4 linked regions of the Arabidopsis thaliana genome follow. The protein of the gene in region 1 purifies or fractionates together with the protein of each later gene. This does not show direct contact. Each region holds a gene or a part of one and is shown on either strand. Other genes may lie near its edges. The genes, in order: AT1G60970, AT4G34450, AT2G34840 and AT1G30630.

The links.
Region 2: the proteins of AT1G60970 (region 1) and AT4G34450 fractionate together in Arabidopsis thaliana (co-fractionation; one large-scale study listed by BioGRID). This does not show direct contact.
Region 3: the proteins of AT1G60970 (region 1) and AT2G34840 fractionate together in Arabidopsis thaliana (co-fractionation; one large-scale study listed by BioGRID). This does not show direct contact.
Region 4: the proteins of AT1G60970 (region 1) and AT1G30630 fractionate together in Arabidopsis thaliana (co-fractionation; one large-scale study listed by BioGRID). This does not show direct contact.

Annotation. Positions count from the first base shown.
Region 1 is NC_003070.9:22,447,277-22,451,212, forward strand, and holds AT1G60970 (SNARE-like superfamily protein), read right to left. Parts: upstream 2,261-3,936; 5' UTR 2,112-2,260; coding exon 2,109-2,111; intron 1,721-2,108; coding exon 1,561-1,720; intron 1,456-1,560; coding exon 1,308-1,455; intron 1,209-1,307; coding exon 1,131-1,208; intron 1,030-1,130; coding exon 945-1,029; intron 792-944; coding exon 732-791; 3' UTR 535-731; downstream 1-534. UniProt on the Arabidopsis thaliana protein: The coatomer is a cytosolic protein complex that binds to dilysine motifs and reversibly associates with Golgi non-clathrin-coated vesicles, which further mediate biosynthetic protein transport from the ER, via the Golgi up to the trans Golgi network.
Region 2 is NC_003075.7:16,469,134-16,476,761, forward strand, and holds the start of AT4G34450 (coatomer gamma-2 subunit, putative / gamma-2 coat protein, putative / gamma-2 COP), read left to right. Parts: upstream 1-1,602; 5' UTR 1,603-2,822; coding exon 2,823-2,868; intron 2,869-3,092; coding exon 3,093-3,241; intron 3,242-3,343; coding exon 3,344-3,457; intron 3,458-3,547; coding exon 3,548-3,748; intron 3,749-3,827; coding exon 3,828-3,929; intron 3,930-4,363; coding exon 4,364-4,471; intron 4,472-4,551; coding exon 4,552-4,785; intron 4,786-4,924; coding exon 4,925-5,175; intron 5,176-5,307; coding exon 5,308-5,479; intron 5,480-5,552; coding exon 5,553-5,708; intron 5,709-5,779; coding exon 5,780-5,830; intron 5,831-6,012; coding exon 6,013-6,150; intron 6,151-6,229; coding exon 6,230-6,427; intron 6,428-6,508; coding exon 6,509-6,640; intron 6,641-6,724; coding exon 6,725-6,898; intron 6,899-7,094; coding exon 7,095-7,334; intron 7,335-7,467; coding exon 7,468-7,628. UniProt on the Arabidopsis thaliana protein: The coatomer is a cytosolic protein complex that binds to dilysine motifs and reversibly associates with Golgi non-clathrin-coated vesicles, which further mediate biosynthetic protein transport from the ER, via the Golgi up to the trans Golgi network.
Region 3 is NC_003071.7:14,700,490-14,704,905, reverse strand, and holds AT2G34840 (Coatomer epsilon subunit), read right to left. Parts: upstream 2,419-4,416; 5' UTR 2,304-2,418; coding exon 2,130-2,303; exon of another isoform or gene 2,038-2,129; coding exon 1,948-2,037; intron 1,865-1,947; coding exon 1,713-1,864; intron 1,620-1,712; coding exon 1,484-1,619; intron 1,395-1,483; coding exon 1,239-1,394; intron 1,076-1,238; coding exon 996-1,075; intron 835-995; coding exon 741-834; 3' UTR 535-740; downstream 1-534. Other genes in the region: MEE25 (NAD(P)-binding Rossmann-fold superfamily protein), read left to right, coding at 1-114. UniProt on the Arabidopsis thaliana protein: The coatomer is a cytosolic protein complex that binds to dilysine motifs and reversibly associates with Golgi non-clathrin-coated vesicles, which further mediate biosynthetic protein transport from the ER, via the Golgi up to the trans Golgi network.
Region 4 is NC_003070.9:10,857,714-10,862,304, forward strand, and holds AT1G30630 (Coatomer epsilon subunit), read right to left. Parts: upstream 2,610-4,591; 5' UTR 2,461-2,609; coding exon 2,290-2,460; intron 2,201-2,289; coding exon 2,111-2,200; intron 1,918-2,110; coding exon 1,766-1,917; intron 1,682-1,765; coding exon 1,546-1,681; intron 1,454-1,545; coding exon 1,298-1,453; intron 1,097-1,297; coding exon 1,017-1,096; intron 927-1,016; coding exon 833-926; 3' UTR 519-832; downstream 1-518. Other genes in the region: MUR4 (NAD(P)-binding Rossmann-fold superfamily protein), read left to right, coding at 10-257; AT1G30640 (Protein kinase family protein), read left to right, coding at 3,584-3,807, 3,984-4,158, 4,396-4,479. UniProt on the Arabidopsis thaliana protein: The coatomer is a cytosolic protein complex that binds to dilysine motifs and reversibly associates with Golgi non-clathrin-coated vesicles, which further mediate biosynthetic protein transport from the ER, via the Golgi up to the trans Golgi network.

The sequences.
Region 1 (3,936 bases):
TACAATTCTTCCGAATATTGTAGCCACACGCCAACTAAATGTCGACATTTTGTTGTAATTTCATTTTTTATTCATCTTTTTTTTTTGGGTTAAATACAATATTACCCTTCATCAATACTTTTTGGATTGTAAAACATATTGGGTTTGAATGGTAACACAATACACTTTTGTACAGTTTTGATAGTTATCAATCATAAAAACTTTATCAAAAACGTTACAAAAAGTTTTACTCTCAGCTTTTTTTGTAGAGCTCGTTCTAAAAGTTTTGCACTGTTCCGATAAAGCTAACATCTAAAATATTTATACAACTTTTGGTTACCAATCAGATCCATTATTTGATTAAAAAATGTAATGGTTACGGTACTAGTAAAGTATATCTCACAGTTGAAAACTTGAAATAGTAAAAAAAAAGTATCCCTACCTAAACCCATTTGGCCTATTGCAAATTTGCAATAATACATCATACTTTTAGCTTATGAGCATCTCGAACAGGTAGATGTTGAATTATATTTTAATCTTAGGTATATACTGTATGTTGTAATTTAATTGTGTATGGAACATGAAAAAGAGTGAAGAAATCACCAGAGAATTGTTTGACCTTAAGAACGGTAACTATCTCCCAAGTGCAAAGTAACTTTTATATTTAAGAGTATAGTCACTCAACTACAAGAGACAAAACACACATTCACCATGACAAAAACAACCATTATTACCGAAGAGCAAAACACACATCATTTCATAAGTGACCTTGTCAAATGTTCTCTTGCAGTCGCGAGTGCTTGACTTATCGTCTGAAGGAAAAAAAAAACACCGCAGAGAAATGTATCAAGTTCATTAGTGATGGTGTTACTTGAGAGTTCGGATCAATGTAACTATTTCAAAGTTTGTATCAAGATGATGTAATTATCAAGAAAAATATGATCACAATTTCAAAACCACTGTACCTGCTCGGATAGAGGAGCGTTAGGGTCAGTGCTATTGATCCCTGCTTTACCTGCTATTACATTTGCATCCGTCTCCAGAACAATACTGAAATATAAGATAGTTTTATTTGACTATGTAACCTATGAAACAGTCCATTTATGATCTAATGGTTTTAGTAATGTCGAAAAGAAGATTTTTTTTTATACCCGCCATCGATAATTTCATCAAAGCTTAGAAAGATGAGATCAAGGTTGTCTAGTGCCTCTCTCTTATCAACATTGCTTCTGTAATTTGGGTTCAGAAGAGAGGAAGATCGAAAATTTGAGCGAAGTTGGGAATGTAGAAATAATATAACAAAAATTTGAAGCTATGATTAGACAAACCTAAGGAGAAGGGTCACTGCATCAAAGAGTCCCTCAAGCACACTGGCTAAGATAAGCTCGTTTTCCTCTTCACCGCCCGTAACAAAGAAATGGAGATCTTGCACAAATTTGTACACAACAATGTTGTTCTCCAGTGCTGTCACTTCCACTACATATCAAGAACTAGCAATTGTAATGACGGAAAAGATTTGATAAAAGATACTCAACAAGTACACTATGAAGTATCTAAAACATGGTTGATGTCGAAATCTACCTTCGGTCCTAGCATTTGTTTTCTGAGTCTTTGTAAACACGGATTTTTCGAACGCTTCCTGAGCTGAATTTGTTGGCCAGTCATCTGAGTAATACTTAACCGCTACACGCTTTCCTTCAGAATCCAAAAGCAAGATGTTTTTCACTTTTGGGGGCAATTCCTAAATGTAAGTAATGAAAACACAGAATAGAATAAAGATTAAGAGATATTGAAAATCACCAACCAAAAGATGTAACAGAACATGAATCAGTGAACAGTAACAATCTCTTTTCTGTATATAGTACAATTAGCTATCCACAATTGTCTAACACCTAATGAGTGATTATCTGAAAATCATGCGTAACTTCAATCAAATTTTTTATATGACTAAAGATTTAAGACGATCGTATCTATAGATGAAAACAATTACAAAATCTGAAATTTGTCACTTCTCACATGCATGTAAAGTATTACAATATCGCAGATAATAAAACATAGGAATGATCGGTGCAATAGAAACAGAGAAGAAATCTCTGAAATAAAAGAAGTTTAGAAAAATAGATTCATACCATGGCTTAAGGAGAAGAAATCTGCAGAGAATGCCCTAGTAATAAAGAAAAACTCTCCTTTGGACTTTGGCAGAGGAAATTTTCAGAAAACGTTACAAATTGGCAAATTCATATTTTCAGGAATATTAATTTTCTTTTACTAAAACACTCTCTCTTTTTTTTCTCTCTTAATTATGTAATTAATTAGTTGCTTTTTCTTTTTCTGGTCAACTTTGATTTGTTTTTCTTGTGACATCAGTCAACTTGACATTGGAAGCGAAGAATCCAGAGTTTCCAGATGTCATTACTCTGTCTGGTTTTCTCTAAACCGGTTCCTGATTCAGTCCGGACCGAGATTTGGGTAATATTTGGTACACTCTTCTCTTGGGCCGTGTGGATCTTGGGAACATTAAAACGGGTCTTACTCGACCCGGCTTAATCATCCGAAACTCTGTCAGCCCAAGCATGTGCCTCCACAGGCCCGCCTAAGTTATTTATGATAAATTAGTTCTTTTTTGGTAATTAAGAAAAATCAAGCAATTACAAACGGACCTGTGACCACTTCTAATCCTACTATATTATTTGGAAAATACATTTTAAATGTAACCTTAATTTTTGTAAGTAATTATATAGGTATGCCATTAGAAATAAAATTTTAAAAAGTAAATTAATTTATCTCTTTAAGGATTAAAAAGTCAAATACTAATTTAATTAATTAAATTAATTAAAAAACGAAATATATTATCAATTTCCAAAAATAATAGCCAATTAAAATCAACATATAAGATTTGATATCTAAATTTTAATTAATTTAATTTAATTAGAAAAACGAAATACATTATTAATTTCTAAAAAAAGTAACCAATTAAAATCAACAAACTATATTTGGTATCTAAATTATCATATTAATTTTTTATTAATTATTATTGTTCACTTCTCATCTTTATATGATTCTATTTTTACGGAAAAATAATATCATCATTATAAAAAAATAATTAGAGTTTTTTCGCATATGCCATAATTTGAATTTTTAAAAACGAATAAAAACTGTTCAATACATGAAATAATATTGTAACGGGTGAAAAATAGATTTAAGAAAACTTTCTACTGAGTAACGGGACATAAATTTGAAATATTTATATTCAATTTCATACATATTATATTGAAAATTTATAATCTTATATACTACAATAGTTAATAACATATCAGATGTGATTCAATTTTTAATACAAGCTGGAAAATCCTAGAATTGACGGGTTTAGATCGATATTAATACAAGATGATATACTACATGTGAAACTCTTAAATTAACAATCAAACTACAAGTGTATAATCTATAATCTTAAACACTAAACAATATAGATAATATCAACAAAACATATACAACTCATATTTACTATACATTTAAAATCAAATAAAATAATATCATATATTTTTAAATCATCTTTACAATAAAAGTTTTTAGTTTAACTAAAATATAAGCCTACCTGCGGTATACTGCAGATTAATCTCTAGATTATAGGACTTATTGGATCTAAAGACGGGTCATCAAAGATTTTCTAAACTGAAGCAAAATATACTGAATATTCAAATATCTATCTGTTACCAAATTATAAACAAATAAGTCAATTTAATATTTTATATATGAAATCAATTAAATCTTAATCACATAAAATTAGCACAAAAAAAAGTATTCAACAATTAAAAAATTACCAAATCTTTGTGTTATATAAGTTTTGATACTATATTTGAATAAAGTGTAATATACCTTTTTAATTTGTATTCTTTAACTAATTTAAGCTAACTAATATATTTGCTAATCTTATTATCAAAACCGACTATCGTTTCT
Region 2 (7,628 bases), on another chromosome or scaffold:
AATACACCCCTTCTCTCTTCTTCCTTGAGAAAAGTCTCCATTCTCTCTTCTTCTTCCTGGAAACCTAAACCACGTAAGGATTTGCTCTGAATCTAAATATTGACGTGGAGAAGACGCGATCTTACTAATTCTCCATTCTCTGCTTCAACTTCACCGTAAGATTGAACAAACCTTTACTTATATATACCTCTTCTTTCTTGAGAAATCCAAATTCTCCATTCTCTCTTCTTCTTCCAAACCAAAACCTAATTCTCCATTCTCTGCTTCAACTTCACCGTAAGATTGATCGGTTGATAAAGCGGCTCTTTTTGGTGATTGATCTCTGTTGTGACTACATCTTAGGTCAATTCAGATTGCTTTCATATCAAGTCTCTCCTAATTTCACAAGATCAAAGATCCCGGCCATGGATTCAGTTGTCGACGGCGAAGGAGAACACAAACGACGACTAAGGATGCGAAAGTGGGAAAGAGGGATATAACGAAGACATGGACAATGAAAGCAACGAGCAGTATAGAACCAAATCAATGGATCATGATCTGTGTTTGGTACTAGGTGTTTCCTTGGCGTCGACGAGATCTTTTGAAAATCTTGTGTTTCGTCGATATCACAAGCAAAGGTATTTTCTTTTTTCCTTTTCTATTTTTAATGATTCATTTTTTACTAAATAAAAATTTATTTTTAGATTTTTTTATTAAGTGTTAAAATTTTCAATTTTGTGTAAATTAATTTAAATTTTTAACACTTGTTTTTGTTTTTATTAAAAACTGTTTTTAAACCTATATTTTTATACTACTATTAAAGTTTTAAGGTTTTTCTTATTAAATATTAAATTTTTAAATTTTGTGTAAACTAATTGGATACATCATCCAATCCCCTAAGAGGTGTTCTAGGTTCAATAGATGGTTTACACATCATTTAAATTTTTAACACTTGTTTTTTATATTTATTAAATAAATGTTTTTAAACCTAAATTTTTATACTACTATTAAAATTTGAAGTTTTTTTTTATTAAGTGTTGAATTTTTAAATTTTGTGTAAACTAATTGGATACATCATCCAAACCCCTAAGAGGTGTTCTAGGTTCAATATGGTTTACACATTATTTAAATTTTTAACACTTGTTTTTCTTATATCAAAAATATGTTTTAAACCTTTATTTTTATACTACTATTAAAGTTTTAAGTTTTTTTATTAAGTGTTAAATATTTAAATTTGTGTAAGCTAATTGGATACATCATCCAAACCCCTAAATAGTGTTCTAGTTTCAATATGGTTTACACATTATTTAAAGTTTTAACACTTGTTTTCCTTATATTAAAAAATGTTTTAAACCTATATTTTTCTATTACTATTAAGATCTTAAGTTTTTTTTTTAATTTTGTGTAAACTAATTGGATAAATCTTAACTCCTAAGAGGTTAGGTTCAATATGGTTTACATATAATTTAATTTTTCTTATATTAAAAAATGTTTCTATTTTTATTTTACTATTAAGATTTTAAATTTTTTTTTGTTAAGTGTAAAAAATTAAAATTTTGTGTAAACTAATTGAATATAACATTCAAACCTGTAAGAGGTGTTTATAGGTTCAATATGATTTATATATAATTTAAATAGTTTGCTATTTTGTTTAGAATCAAAATATTTTTAAATGACATGTTGTAATAATTGACCAAAAGAAATTAGTGTGTGATTTTGTTGAAATGCAGAGTACAAAGCCTTAATTTATACCAAGTTATGGTATCTATAACGTATATGAATACCAAAATTTTATTATTTTTAATTGGTGTTGTATTTTATAATTCGAAATAATTAGGGGAACGGGCAAAACCTCTCTGTTCTCTCGCTTATATTTTTTTTAGAGAGAAAGCAAATCAGTTTCAACGATCGGATATTTTCTGGTGTTAGCCGTCCTGACTTTTTGGGCTTTCTGTCCGATATCACCGGCTCTGGTAGCGGTGTTGGTTGGCTCTAGTCCGGCAGCGTCTTGTTCACATAACCGGTGGTTGCTGGCTCTTGGTTTCTCTCGTCGATGTAGATCGATTTTTAATCTGTGTTTTTTTATTTTCATGTTTTGTTTTTAATAATTCTCATCTGAGACATGTTGGTGATAGAGTGAATGCAATCTCGCTTTCTAATGCTTCTTATCCGATCTGTTCTTTTTTAAGTTTTGATTTACAGAAATTTTTGGAGAAATTTGAGAATGATGTTGAAGAAAAGAAGTGGATTCTGTTGTTAATTATCATAGCCTTAAGCTGTTGTATATTTAACATGAGCCTCGATTGCTTTTTATCGGTGAAAAAACAAAAAGATCCATGTTCTATGAGACTATCGACGGTGATTCTTTCACCGAAATCGGTGCTCAGACGGCGAAAATGAAGTCGGTTCGCTTTAGAGTACTCATCTGACACGTATATTAATATATCGACATGTGGTTTGGGATAGAGTCAAACTATAGTTTCTTCTTCTATGAAAGACTCTCTGTTGGCCTATTTGGTCCTAAATCGTTTCTGTAATCGCGGACTTTTCTTTAAGCTTTGACTATCTTGATTAATACAATATTTCTCTTGGGACAAAAAAAAAATAATCTTAGTATTTCTTTAATATTTTTTGTTTGGGTATGGGCTATTGGGCCGCTTCGAAAAGTTCACTTTCTCTATCGATCTCTCACAGTTTCTGAGTTCTCTGACTCAAAAACATATAGTAGAAGAAAACGATTAGAGATCTTCTTCTTTCTCCTGTTGCATCTGAAGATAAAGGAAACAGAAAGCGCGAGATCTGAGTGACGGAGTAATTTCAAAGGGAGGTTTTCGAGATCAGAAATGGCGCAACCCCTCGTGAAGAAAGACGATGATCACGACGATGAGTGTATGTGTTCTCTCTTAATCTCCTTATAATTTTCGAATCAGCTGGTTTTCTGCAAAATGTAGATCCAGATGTTAAGCTTCTAGATCTGTTATCATTCAACAGTCGTGATTGTGATTTGGTTGTGTAGATCTACAATCTCAAGTCCGATTTAGTTTTGTTTACCGCATTCGATCCCGGTGTGAATTGCTTTGCTTATTTCGATTTCTGATTTTTTGTTGGATCAGTGGAGTATTCTCCATTCATGGGAATTGAGAAAGGAGCGGTTCTTCAAGAGGCTAGAGTCTTTAATGACCCTCAGGTTGATCCTAGACGATGCTCCCAGGTCATTACGAAGCTTCTTTATTTGCTTAACCAAGGGGAGTCATTCACCAAGGTCAGTTAATTTTTTTGCTTATACTGATTCGATGTCATGCTTATGGAGAATTGAATTATTGTGTTCTTATCCTCTCGCGATGGTTGTTTGTTTCATATGCAGGTTGAAGCAACGGAAGTTTTCTTTTCAGTTACAAAGCTTTTTCAATCAAAAGACACGGGTTTGAGGAGAATGGTCTACTTGATCATTAAGGAGTTATCTCCATCATCTGATGAGGTCTGTAAATTTTACTCAATTTCAATACGAACATCGTCGCACTTATTGTAGGTATATTTTCTGATAAGTTGTTGGTTTTTTCGCCCATAGGTTATCATCGTAACAAGCTCTCTGATGAAGGATATGAATAGTAAAATTGATATGTATCGAGCAAATGCTATCCGTGTCCTCTGCCGGATAATAGACGGAACCCTTCTCACTCAGATTGAGCGATACTTGAAACAAGCCATTGTGGATAAGAATCCCGTTGTTTCAAGTGCAGCTTTAGTCAGTGGGCTTCACTTGCTCAAGGTACCTTTTACACACCAAAACTATTAGGTAGCTTCTTAATTGTAATGTTATGCTTATATTCGTATATTGCTGTTTTCAGACAAACCCAGAAATTGTTAAAAGATGGAGCAATGAAGTTCAAGAAGGTATTCAATCCAGATCAGCCCTTGTTCAGTTCCATGCCCTAGCTTTGCTCCATCAGGTTAGTTTGTTGCATTATTATCACCGAAGTCGATTGGTCTATGTTTCTACTCTTTGTTTAATTAAACAGCCACTGAGAAGAAGTATCTCGGAAAATGAGAGGTGTTACTATGTGTATTGGACTAGATTCATAAATAATAAGTTTTCTGTAGCAGCATCGTAGCTCTTTACTACGGCCTTTTCCAGCAATTTTAGTTTCTTGTGAGGTTTAATCTGTGTCTGGAGTCTGTCTCAGATACTGCTGATTCTAGCATATGTAACTAATTAGGTTGGTTAGGACAACCTATTTATGTGTCTAAGATGTACGAGTTACCAAATGATATGTATTGCTGCTGTTACGTTGATTTAAAATGACTCCCAACATGATACACTCTCAATCTTTGATCTAATAACTGTCAATCTTTGATCAACTTGATAATCTTTCATCATATTCAGATACGCCAAAATGATCGCTTGGCTGTTAGCAAATTGGTTGGTAGCTTGACCAGGGGATCTGTCCGCTCTCCCTTGGCTCAGTGTCTTTTGATACGTTACACCAGCCAGGTTATTCCTCTCTTCTGTTTGATCATTTGATAAGTGGCTGATTGTATATGTGTTATTTAGCTCTGGTTTCTAATATTCAGGTTATCCGTGACATGGCCAACCACGGTCAATCTGGAGAACGTCCGTTCTATGAATTTTTGGAGAGTTGCCTGCGCCATAAGGCAGAAATGGTGATCCTTGAGGCTGCCAGGGCAATTACTGAGCTTGATGGTGTGACAAGCCGAGAACTGACTCCAGCAATCACTGTTCTTCAGCTCTTTTTGAGTTCCCCCAGACCAGTGTTGAGATTTGCCGCTGTCCGGACTCTGAACAAGGTTTGCAATGCTTTCAACTGTTCTCTTTGTACATTGACACCGAAATGATGTTTTACTATTCTGGGTAGATTCATCATTACCTTTATCATGAGGATGAGGAGATATTTCACTGTATACTAAACACAAGTTTGAACCACAGGTTGCAATGACTCATCCTATGGCTGTCACCAACTGCAACATTGATATGGAGAGTTTAATCTCTGATCAAAATAGAAGCATTGCTACACTCGCAATAACCACACTATTGAAAACAGGGAACGAATCAAGTGTAGAACGTTTGATGAAGCAGATAACTAATTTTATGTCAGATATTGCTGATGAGTTCAAAATTGTGGTCGTGGACGCAATAAGATCGTTGTGTGTGAAATTCCCACTGAAATACAGATCCTTGTAAGTAAAGTTTTAGGGTTTGTTATTTGTAGTTTTGGTCTCGAGCATTTCTATTTTTTTGAATGATTAAATATGTTATGGTATCTTTTTAGCATTTGGCTTATGATTGATCTATCACCTTTTCATTTGTAGGATGACCTTCTTAAGCAACATTCTTAGGGAAGAAGGTGGATTTGAGTATAAAAGAGCAATAGTAGATTCTATTGTGACCATTATCAGAGATATTCCGGATGCAAAGGAAAGTGGACTGCTTCATCTATGTGAATTCATTGAAGATTGTGAATTCACATATCTTTCAACACAGGTAATTATTCCATCATCCATCTGGGGTTGCTATTAAAAACTTATGTGTTATTGAAATGTTTATTCTCGCACAGATCCTTCATTTTCTGGGAATTGAGGGGCCTAACACCTCAGATCCAAGCAAGTATATACGATATATATATAATCGTGTGCATCTAGAAAACGCCACTGTCCGGGCTGCTGCTGTTTCCACACTTGCAAAGTTTGGGTTTATGGTTGAATCCTTGAAGGTATAGTCATCATAACAACCATTATTTTTATTTTCCGTTTATCTTCTTTGACTGATGATAATGCTCGACAGCCCCGGATTACTGTTCTATTGAAGCGTTGCATCTATGACAGTGATGATGAGGTGCGTTCCTAGTCTTAGTCTAGAAAAGCATTGCTGTTTCTGTATGTCTGTTTGTTTTGAGTCGTTGCATCATCAAACATGCATGCATGTGTTTGCCTCTGTAAACATTTTCGGATGCATGCAATGCAAGTTGTTTGATGATTCCTTCCTTGCTCATGAGTCAGACATCTTTTTATCTTAAGGTCCGTGATAGGGCAACACTATATTTGAGTGTTCTTGGTGGTGATGGTACTGTTGACACTGATAAAGAGAGCAAGGATTTCCTATTTGGTTCCCTGGAGGTTCCTCTAGTCAACATGGAAACTAGTCTGAAGAATTATGTGAGTTAATCTATTTCTCGGTTTTCTCCTTTTCAATATTCTTAGGACATCAGTTATCTTATATCTGGGATTCCTGCAGGAGCCCTCTGAAGAAGCTTTTGATATCAACTCCGTACCTAAGGAAGTTAAATCTCAGCCCCTTGCAGAGAAGAAAGCCCAGGGTAAAAAGCCCACTGGTCTTGGTGCACCACCAGCTGCACCTGCTTCTGGTTTTGATGGCTATGAAAGACTTCTCTCATCCATTCCAGAGTTTGCCGCCTTTGGAAAACTTTTCAAGGTTAGGGGCTGATTTGTCTTCTGTGTTATTCTAATGTTAATGGCTTATCTTGTTTGCTTTAACTTGTACTTTCTTTTTCAGTCTTCTTTACCTGTGGAGCTAACTGAAGCAGAAACAGAATACGCTGTCAATGTTGTTAAGCATATCTTTGACAGTCATGTGGTGTTTCAGTACAACTGCACTAACACAATACCAGAGCAGTTGTTGGAGAGGGTACTGAACATTGGTGTAGAATATTAGTGTCAAGCATATCTTATCTTTCTTTCCTCATTTAATTAATTTGGCATGGGGTTGTAGGTCAATGTCATTGTAGATGCTTCAGAAGCTGAGGAATTCAGTGAAGTAACTTCAAAGGCCCTAAACTCACTTCCTTACGATTCACCCGGTCAAGCCTTTGTGGTTTTTGAGAAGCCAGCTGGGGTCCCTGCTGTTGGAAAGTTCTCCAACACATTGACTTTCGTTGTTAAGGAGGTACATGTTAAATAGGCTATTCACTTCCATCTTTTTATTTACTTACACTGAAAATGACCCCATAATACTTTGTGGAGAACTCTTATAAACAACGACTCATTTGGAGAGGAGTACCAGAACGACTCAAATTAATCACAGAAAACAAAGAAAACTCTCTAACTACATTGTTTGTGCTTTTATGAATGTGTTAAAACAGGTTGACCCAAGCACAGGTGAAGCAGAAGATGATGGAGTAGAAGATGAGTACCAGCTAGAGGATCTTGAGGTTGTAGCTGGAGATTACATGGTGAAAGTGGGTGTCTCCAATTTCAGGAATGCGTGGGAAAGCATGGATGAAGAAGATGAGCGTGTAGACGAATATGGCCTTGGCCAAAGAGAGAGTTTGGGAGAAGCTGTAAAGGCTGTCATGGATCTTCTTGGCATGCAGACTTGTGAGGTTAGTCTCTTCCACTTTTTTCTCATACTCTACTGAGACTTGAGGGCTAAAATTATTGTTGATAAAGTCTTTTTTGAGTATATGACCATTTGTTGTGTTCCTGAAATTGAAACTGACACTGGATAAATAACAGGGGACGGAGACAATTCCGCTCAATGCAAGGTCACACACGTGTCTATTGTCAGGTGTGTACATAGGCAACGTGAAAGTGTTAGTGAGGGCACAGTTTGGAATGGACAGCTCAAAGGACATTGCAATGAAGCTGACAGTTAGAGCTGAAGACGTTTCTGTCGC
Region 3 (4,416 bases), on another chromosome or scaffold:
CTGAATTGGACAGCTAAGCACACCAATCTTCAAGAAAGTTTAAAGATGGCATGGAGATGGCAAAAGCTTCATCGCAGTGGCTATGGATCTTCTTCCTTGGTTTCTGCATACTGACCATTATGCATTAGGTATGTGAGCATTGCCCTTCAAGGACTCCTTCATTAGAGTCTTGATTCTAGATGGTAGTGAAGGTAGTAGAAGAAGATGGATTTATTCTTAGTAGAATAGTATTCATCTTATCCATATATAGAGATTATATATGAGATTATTGATTAATAAAATATCATCCATGTCAATCACCTATTTTATTGTGATTGAGGTTTATCAAAATCCTAACGGAAGACATATGTCGCTTCTTTGTGTAAAAAGTGAAAATCATTGGTTGGAAAAAAATTGAAGTATTTCCAAGTGAGAAGCTTTTGTTTGTTTTGGTATTTCTAGTTTGGATTCAAACGATCGGTTGAATTCACTCAAGGTTTCGGGTTGAGTTACACGATCTGGATTGGTTAGGTTCGAAATTAAGTAAATGACAAACGGAATTGAGAGTGCGAGAGGTGGAATTTGATATTTTCAAGTAATGAAATGTAACTTAACATATCTAATGGCAAAAGCTGGTTCATATACTGGTTTCGAAAAGACAAGACAGTATGGTTGTTCTGGTAGATTTACCAACCCGGTGAAAATATGCGGTAAAGCAAACAAATCCTGCACGTCTTTTAGCTTGAACCATGGAAGAGTCTTTAGGCGACCAATTGAACTGCTCTCTCGAAGTTATCTTCAGCTGATGATACACGCTTCACAAGTATGTGTTCCGGGTGTGAAAGTTTTAGCTGGCTGCAAGAAGGATAGGTGATACAAATGAAGTTAACAAACGAGACCGACCAATGTTTTTATTAGGATTAAGGACACAGTTACTCTCGATTAACTTTTCAGTGAGTTCTACTGATTGATTGGGCAAATGATGCCTAATATAAGAGTAGATAATGAAAATTTACCTTAGGTGGCGTGAAGAAGACTTCCCGACATGAAGACTGCACACAACAAGATTTGCAAGAGTTTCTGGATCTTTAGCATCCTGCAATCACCACAAATTAGTATAAACACACTTCCCCATATACAGAAAAGCCAAGAGACAAGTGCAGTGTGAGAAATTTAGAGAGGTCCCTAGTTTCATATTGTTCCCGAGAATGCTAATGTACAGAGCAAATTTAAGGTACACAAGCCTAATTTGTAGTTACCTTGTTGAGTGCTTCAAGAAGTAGTGTTTCAGCTTCATCGAAGTTACCCATTTGCATACAGCAAACAGCTTTGCCATTCAAGATCAAGCATGTCATTGGGTACTTCTCAGAAAAATCCTCGAAAATGAGATAAGCTTCCTGTATCTTCGAACCGCCCTGAAATCAAATAACGCCTTAGCATAAGAAGCAAATACACAACTCTTTGAAAGAATAAGCCAGAACACATTGAATATTTCGCATTATACCACTGCCAGGTTCAACCAAGCGCTAGCAAGTTGAGTGAGAGTGTGGTCTTCATCAATCTGTTGCATCACTCTAAGCTGCTTCTCAGCATACTCTGCTCTATGCATCTTAATGAATATCTGAACATTCAAGGCATACCTAGAAAAACAATAGCAATGAGCCATCTAAGAACATGTTTTAAAACACAGTATAAATACTCAATCCACCAAATAAAAATCGAAAAAATCTTACAAATCCATAGTTCCTCCAGCATGAGTATGCTTCAAAGTTTCATTATAATCTTCTTCATGCATGAAAATAATACCAGCAATCAATCGTAATGTATCATTGTTTCCTATTGTTGAATCTGCTAACCATTCCTTCAAGCTTGAAATTGTTGATTCCTGAACCAATAACAATCGTTCCATATAAGCATTTGAATCTCTTTACAACATGTTTCGTGAACACGAATCAAAGCCGTAATTACCTTATTTTGAGGAGTCGATAGATACATAGCGAGGAGTTTGACTGCTTGTAGTGGAGTAGCGGCTGATTCATCGATCTCACTGATAACAAGCTTATACACACCAAAATTTGGAAGAACAGATCAAAACAAAACGTAATCGAATCTAAAGAAGAAGACATTATCGATATGATTAGAGAAGTAACCTGATAGCTACCGAGGGCGATGTAAGATCGGAAGACGAGACAGTCACGTTCCACGGCGTTTTCCGGCGAGAGGTTGGCGATCTCGCTGTTGTTGATCGCCGTTTGATAAGCTCCCAAATAGAAATTGTTTCTGAGGTTGAAGAGGTGATCTGGTCCTGCTCCCATGGCTGACATTGCTTCTTCTTCTTCTTCTTCTTCTTCTTCTTCTTCTTCTTCTTCTTCTTCTTCTTCTTCTTCTTCTTCTTCTTCTTCTTCTAGATTTCACAGCTTCGCGTCTAATTCCAAAATCCAAACGAAAGTAAACGGGTTAATAACATAATAACCCCTTAAGTTATAAACTGAATGCATAATAATCCCAGTTCTTTTTGAACTGTTCAAGTAACATCACTAATTTGATTTGGGCCTTGTGCGGCAAAATAACGAATCAGGTTCTTTGTTTGACTCCTGGGCTTTATATCTAGTTGTGTGTTGTGAGCTTTTGGTCAGTCTATGTTTTAAAATCAGAAACGTGAACAAGTTTTTTTTATATATTAAGCATATCACACACTACTCGAAATAGTATTAGACGACAGACATGGTTGAATTAGTGTACTAGATGTCTACATTTGGTAGTGTTCAAAAAAAAAAAAGATGTCAACATTTGGTTGAACGAGCTATTCTTAATTAAAAGAAAATCAATAAATTCATATTTGTTATTATCAGAATGTGTTAGGTTAGTTTTATCGGTCTAGATGATTTTGTATTACGGTGATGTTAATCGGTTGAATAGTCATTGTATATATACTTGTACAAAATACATTTACGGAAATTTAATCAGAAAATATCTTCTTCTTCATCTGTAACAAACTTTCTTATCTCTCGATCGTAATATGGTATTAGAGCCATCAAAGCTCAAATTTCTTCATAAATCATCTCATGTCGATCTAAGAAGCAACATGTTATTTCTAGATACTGAGCATTAGCTCTTGCTACTTGTGAGTTGGTTTGGTTGCATACATTGCTCGTATCTTAAACGGATACTACTTCGATTCTTATCTTGTTTTCAGACAGTACAGATGTTATCTATATTGCAATCAATTATATCTTCCATGAGAGCACGAAATATATTGAGATTGACTGCCATACCGTGCGTGACAAGTTGGATGATGGTGAGCTTAAACTGCTTCATGTTCCCACGGATGATCAAATAGCTGATATTTTGCTAAACATTTGTTCTCACATCAGTTTGAACATCTAAAGTCCAAGATGAGCATTCTCAACATTTTCGAATCCTCATATTGAGGGGTCATATCAGAGAGTGTTGATTTAATTTATCGGTTTAATTGATTTTGTATTACGCGGGTTATATTAACCGGTTGTATTGTCATCGTATATATACTTGTACAAAATACATTTACAGAAATTTAAGGGGAAAATATCTTCTTCTTCATCTGTAACAAACTTTCTCATCTCTCAATCGTAATAATTATATATAGGATATAGTTAAATAAACATAGTTCAAATTTAAATCATGTTATAATATACATATAAGAGTATGACTGTTGTTTTTGTATGAACTTGAGGAACACTTAAAGGGCATGGTCGATTTTACGTAAAGTCAATATTCATTTCACATGTTCAAAGAAGTCCTCGTGCTACACAACCCAATTAATAACATAAATCAATACTATAGTTTATCAAAAAATATCAACCTCTAAAGTCTAAATGTTCTATCAATTTGTGTACTTGTGATTCGTGCAATTCTCTGTGTAATGGGTTTAGGCTCGCTTTTAGCTGAATTAGAATAATTAATGAGTTATGGTTATCAGACATTAATTACATGCACCTTTTAAATGTAAAATGCATCTTCTTGGAATAAGCTCCTCTAGTTTGGTTCTTACTTTATGCAAATTTTGTTTTAATGAATCTCTTTTCTCAAGTAATCTATAATAAGTTTACTATTTGTAATCCCTAATAATCCAAAGGCCTTCTCACTTCTAAAAGTTATCATCATATGCATCTTTTAAATAGCATTGATGTGTCTAATCATACGTTACCAATCTAAACACACATATTCCGTGGTTAATCAGATTTATCTTTCTTTGTCAATTTAAATTCTTATATTGTTTTAAATATATCTGACTGGATAACAGATATTAAATATTACTATTTTTATAGAATCCGTTCATCAACATGCGTCACCGTAGAACGAGGGATGCATGACTTATTTTGTTTTAATTTTTGCACCGTATGGTCTAATTATTGTAGTAAACAATATATAAGTTCATGCCGTTTCATATTAAAATGA
Region 4 (4,591 bases), about 12 Mb from region 1:
GTGGAGTAGGTAGCTCGGTGAAAGAGTTTGTTGAGGCGTGCAAGAAAGCAACTGGTGTTGAGATCAAGATCGACTATTTGCCTAGACGTGCAGGTGATTACGCTGAGGTTTACAGTGATCCAAGCAAGATTAGGAAGGAACTTAACTGGACAGCTAAGCACACTAATCTCAAAGAGAGTCTTGAGACTGCATGGAGATGGCAGAAGCTGCACCGTAATGGCTATGGCTTAACAACCTCATCGGTCTCGGTTTACTGACTTTGTTCATTCCTTTGGTGATGGACGGAGATTTTGATTCCAGATGGTATTGAGGAGAGAAGCGTAGGAGATGATGATGGTTTATATATAAATATAACACAAGATATATTATCCATATTATGAAAAAATGATATCACATGACGAGATTTTTGATTGATATTCATTTTGTAATGGCTTTAGGTTCTTTTAGGAAGCAGCCATTCATTAGTATATGTACCTCTCACAATATTTATTGATTAGTCTTAATAATATATAGCATTCCTGGCTTTTAATTTGTAAAGCGGAATTTAGATCTAAGCTCCGTGTTGCATACATTAGCGAATGTTTCGTTTTCAAAAGTCTGCCTTTTGTCTCATCAGTTATGGAGATTCTGGATTTCAAGGAACAAGATCTGTAGTTCTGTTGGATTCGAAACTCAATGAAAACAAAAGCTTCAGTGAGAAATCAAAGTAAAATGCAACATATCCAATGGAAAAAACTGTTTATCTATGATAATTTCAAGATAGGGTCGGTAATAATATGATGTTCTTCTGGTAGATCATAAGGCAAATTGATTCCATGGACTTTGAGGTACTTCAGGCGAAAGATTGAAGTGCTCTCTCGAAGTTATCTTCAGCTGATGCTGCTCGCTTCACAAGGACGTGTTCTGGATGTGAAAGTTTCAGCTGGCTGCAAAAGGATTGGAAATGGAGGAATAAGTCAGCTTACTGATGCACTTGTTGTTATGCAGAAAATGCAAAAGGTCATGAATATTTATACTTTAGGTAGCGAGAAGATGATTTCCCGACGTGAAGACTGCATACAACGAGGTTTGCAAGAGTTTCTGGGTCTTTAGCATCCTGCAATGAGAATAAACATCTATGATTTCAAACTTGTCCATTTTATAATAAACGGAATAGTTGAAAAGTTTAGATTTGGTGTAAGGAGTTTTCAAGTATCCTCATAGATTTAAATCGAGTGAGCATTTCCGATGACATGATATTGAGAATGGGTTGTGTCGATACAGATTTAAGGAAAGAAAGAGTAGGTTCATCACTCACCTTGTTGAGTGCTTCAAGTAGTAGAGTCTCAGCTTCTTCAAAATTACCCATATGCATGCAGCAAACTGCTTTGCCGTTCAAGATCAAGCTTGTCATTGGGTACTTCTCAGAGAAATCCTGGAAGATTAGATAAGCTTCCTGTATCTTGGAACCACCCTGAGATCATAAAGAACAATTTCATATTAAGAAACACATTAACAAACTTCTCTACACTATATGGAAAAAAGAAATGGATATTCATATCATACTACTGCCAGATTCAACCACGCGCTCGCGAGCTGAGTGAGTGTGTGGTCTTCATCAATCTGTTGCATCACTCTCAGTTGTTTCTCCGCAAAATCTGATCTGTGCATCTTTATGAATATCTGGACATTCAAAGCATGCCTAAAATATGCAGAAACAACAATCATTTATCGAGTAAACGAAAAGAGATCGCTGTGACAAGACAAAACAAATCGAAAAGCTCACAGATCCATGGTTCCTCCAGAATGAGTGTGCTTCAGAGCCTCATTATAGTCTTCCTCATGCATGAATATAGTACCAGCAATCAACCTGATAATAGCATTGTTTCCTACAGTTGGATCTGCCAACCATTCCCTCAAGCTCGAAATGGTTGATTCCTAACCAAAATCACAGAAACAACTACGTATTCAACAATGCAGATCACTAAAATAAGATCAAGATATATTCAATTCCGGATCTCTGAAGCTAAATCATCAAAAGAATCCTAGAATTCTACTAAAGTTATCTGAAATTCCGCTAAGCAAACGTTACAGAAGATGAATTGAAACATCTCAAAATCTCTTGAATTACCTTGTTTTCAGGACTCGATAGATACATAGCAAGGAGTTTCACTGCCTGTAGAGGAGTAGCAGCGGCTTCATCGATCTCACTGATGACAAGCTACGAAGACGAAATTTGAAAAACGTAAATCAGCAAATGATCAAAACAAATTGAAATCCAAATCGAAAAACACGAGACGGAAGCAAAACCTGGTAACTTCCGAGAGCGATGTAAGCGCGATGGACGAGACAGTCTCGCTCGACGATATCTTCCTGCGAAAGATTAGGGATCTCGCTGTTGTTGATCGCAGCTTGATAAGCACCCAAGTAGAAATGGTTTCTCAAATTGAAGAGATGATCTGGTCCTGCCATGGATGCCATTGTCTTAGCTTCTTCTTCTTCTTCTTCTTCTAGATCTCACAGATCCGTGTCTAACTCCAAAATAAAGAAAACTGAAGTGTGAATAATCAAAACCAAAAAAATATGACGCCTTAAGATGTACATAAAGCCCCATACATTTTGAATGTTACAATTGACACTCATTGTTATCTATTTTAGGCCCAATGGGCTTTTCGATGACCCAATTAGTTCGACACTCTGCTTCTCTTTACACGTCTCCTACATACGGACGGTGACAATCTTGTCTTACCAATAAAACGCGTTTTTATCCAATTCGCGCGGGAGTTGTTCTAATGACGTTAGCAAACCACTCCGTTCAATCGTGCTGTCACGTTATGTCGACAAACAAATCCAACAATTTACTGACACGTGTCATTTAGCTTCCCCAATAAATGACCCGGGAATAGTTAAAAGCCGGTTTACCAGTATTGGTTTTAATCAGCCACCGAGTCATCGTGACTGTAACTTAAACGGCGTTTACTGCTTCAAGATAAAATACGCTTTGCCCAAAAAACGTTATTAGTTCGTAATCCGTTTTTGCTCTCCCTTTTGAGATCTTTTAATTAAAAAAATTCCGTTTTAAGTGAATGCGTGTAAGCAACAGTTCGAATTCGAAGCGAGAGCTAAAATCAAAATCTCTCTGATTTGTTGTTTTGTTGATGTAAGTTTCTTTGATCCTTTCGCGAAATTTGTCATCTTCCCCGATCGAGTTTTACTTTTTCTTTGTGAATAGTTTGACTTTTCGTTTTTCTTCTTCTTCAATCTCGCATGGTGTTTGTGCGTATCTTGTTTGGAATTGGAGTTTGTAACTATTTGATTATAAGCAAGTTTTGATTCGAATGCATGCGTGCAATCCACAATCCAGAACTAGATGTATATGTATCTCTATGTCAAGAGTGATTAAAATCGATTCGTGTGGAATTAACTTGGAAGTGAAAGTTTTAATATTGTTTCCGGAATTTACGGTGAGATTTTAGGTGTTGACCAGCGTTGTTAGACAAGAATTTGTCATCAATTTGATTTAGTTTTGAAGCATTTGGGTTTTGGAATTTTGTTTTGATTTTCTGCAGGTTTTATGAAGTGATTTGCATTAGATTGGATTGAAATGGCTACGGAGCCTACAAGGAGCTGGTTCCAGATACGGCAGCAGAAACCGGATAAATCAAGCCCTACTAAAAAGGGACAAGAGGGAAATGTGAAGAATCTTGGGAGACCTCCTATGAATGATGCACCATCTAATGCTACTAAACAGAAAGTTGCTGCAGCGAAGCAATATATCGAGAATCATTATAAAATTCAGAAGAAGAGTCTCCAGGAAAGAAAAGAGCGGTACGTTCTCGGGATTCTTCTTGTGATGCCAATATTTACTTCTTGTGCTTTAGTTGTTACAAATGGAACTTCAGAGTAGTCTTATTTTCTAGTACTGATGGTTGGGTCTGATTTAGGAATTAATCTGCTACTGGTTTAGATTGAACCTTCTGATATCAGCTCGCTCTTGAATACAGTCGGAGCATCTTGGAACAAAACCTAGCTGATGCTGATGTTACTGTTGAAGACAAGATGGATATATTAAAGAACTTTGAGAAAAAGGAAATGGAGTATATGCGTCTACAAAGACAGAAAATGGGGGTTGATGACTTTGAACTGCTTAGCATCATTGGCCGGGGTGCTTTCGGTGAGGTATATCTCTTTATGTGTTCTTTGTGGTTGCCTCTCTTATTTTTCACTTCCTTTTTGTAAGCTTAGCTAATATCTTGTCTCATCTTTACATATAAAATTTGATGTTGCTTCTTTTTTAGCTCTCTTACTGGCTACCGAAGTACTGATAACTAGCTATTATTCTTTTTCTATGAACCAAAGCTTCTGTTAGTGATTTTACTTGGTGTATTGATTTAATATTATTTCATTTCTGTCCAGGTGAGAATTTGTAAAGAAAAATCTACTGGAAGCGTATATGCAATGAAAAAGTTAAAGAAATCCGAGATGCTTCGACGAGGGCAGGTAATGCACTATCTGATAGCATCTCTCCAAATCAAAGAGTTTAGTTGTGATTAAATTGGTAATTCATTAACATCTGCGTAAATACGCTAATCCTCTCTTTATGCGGTAAATA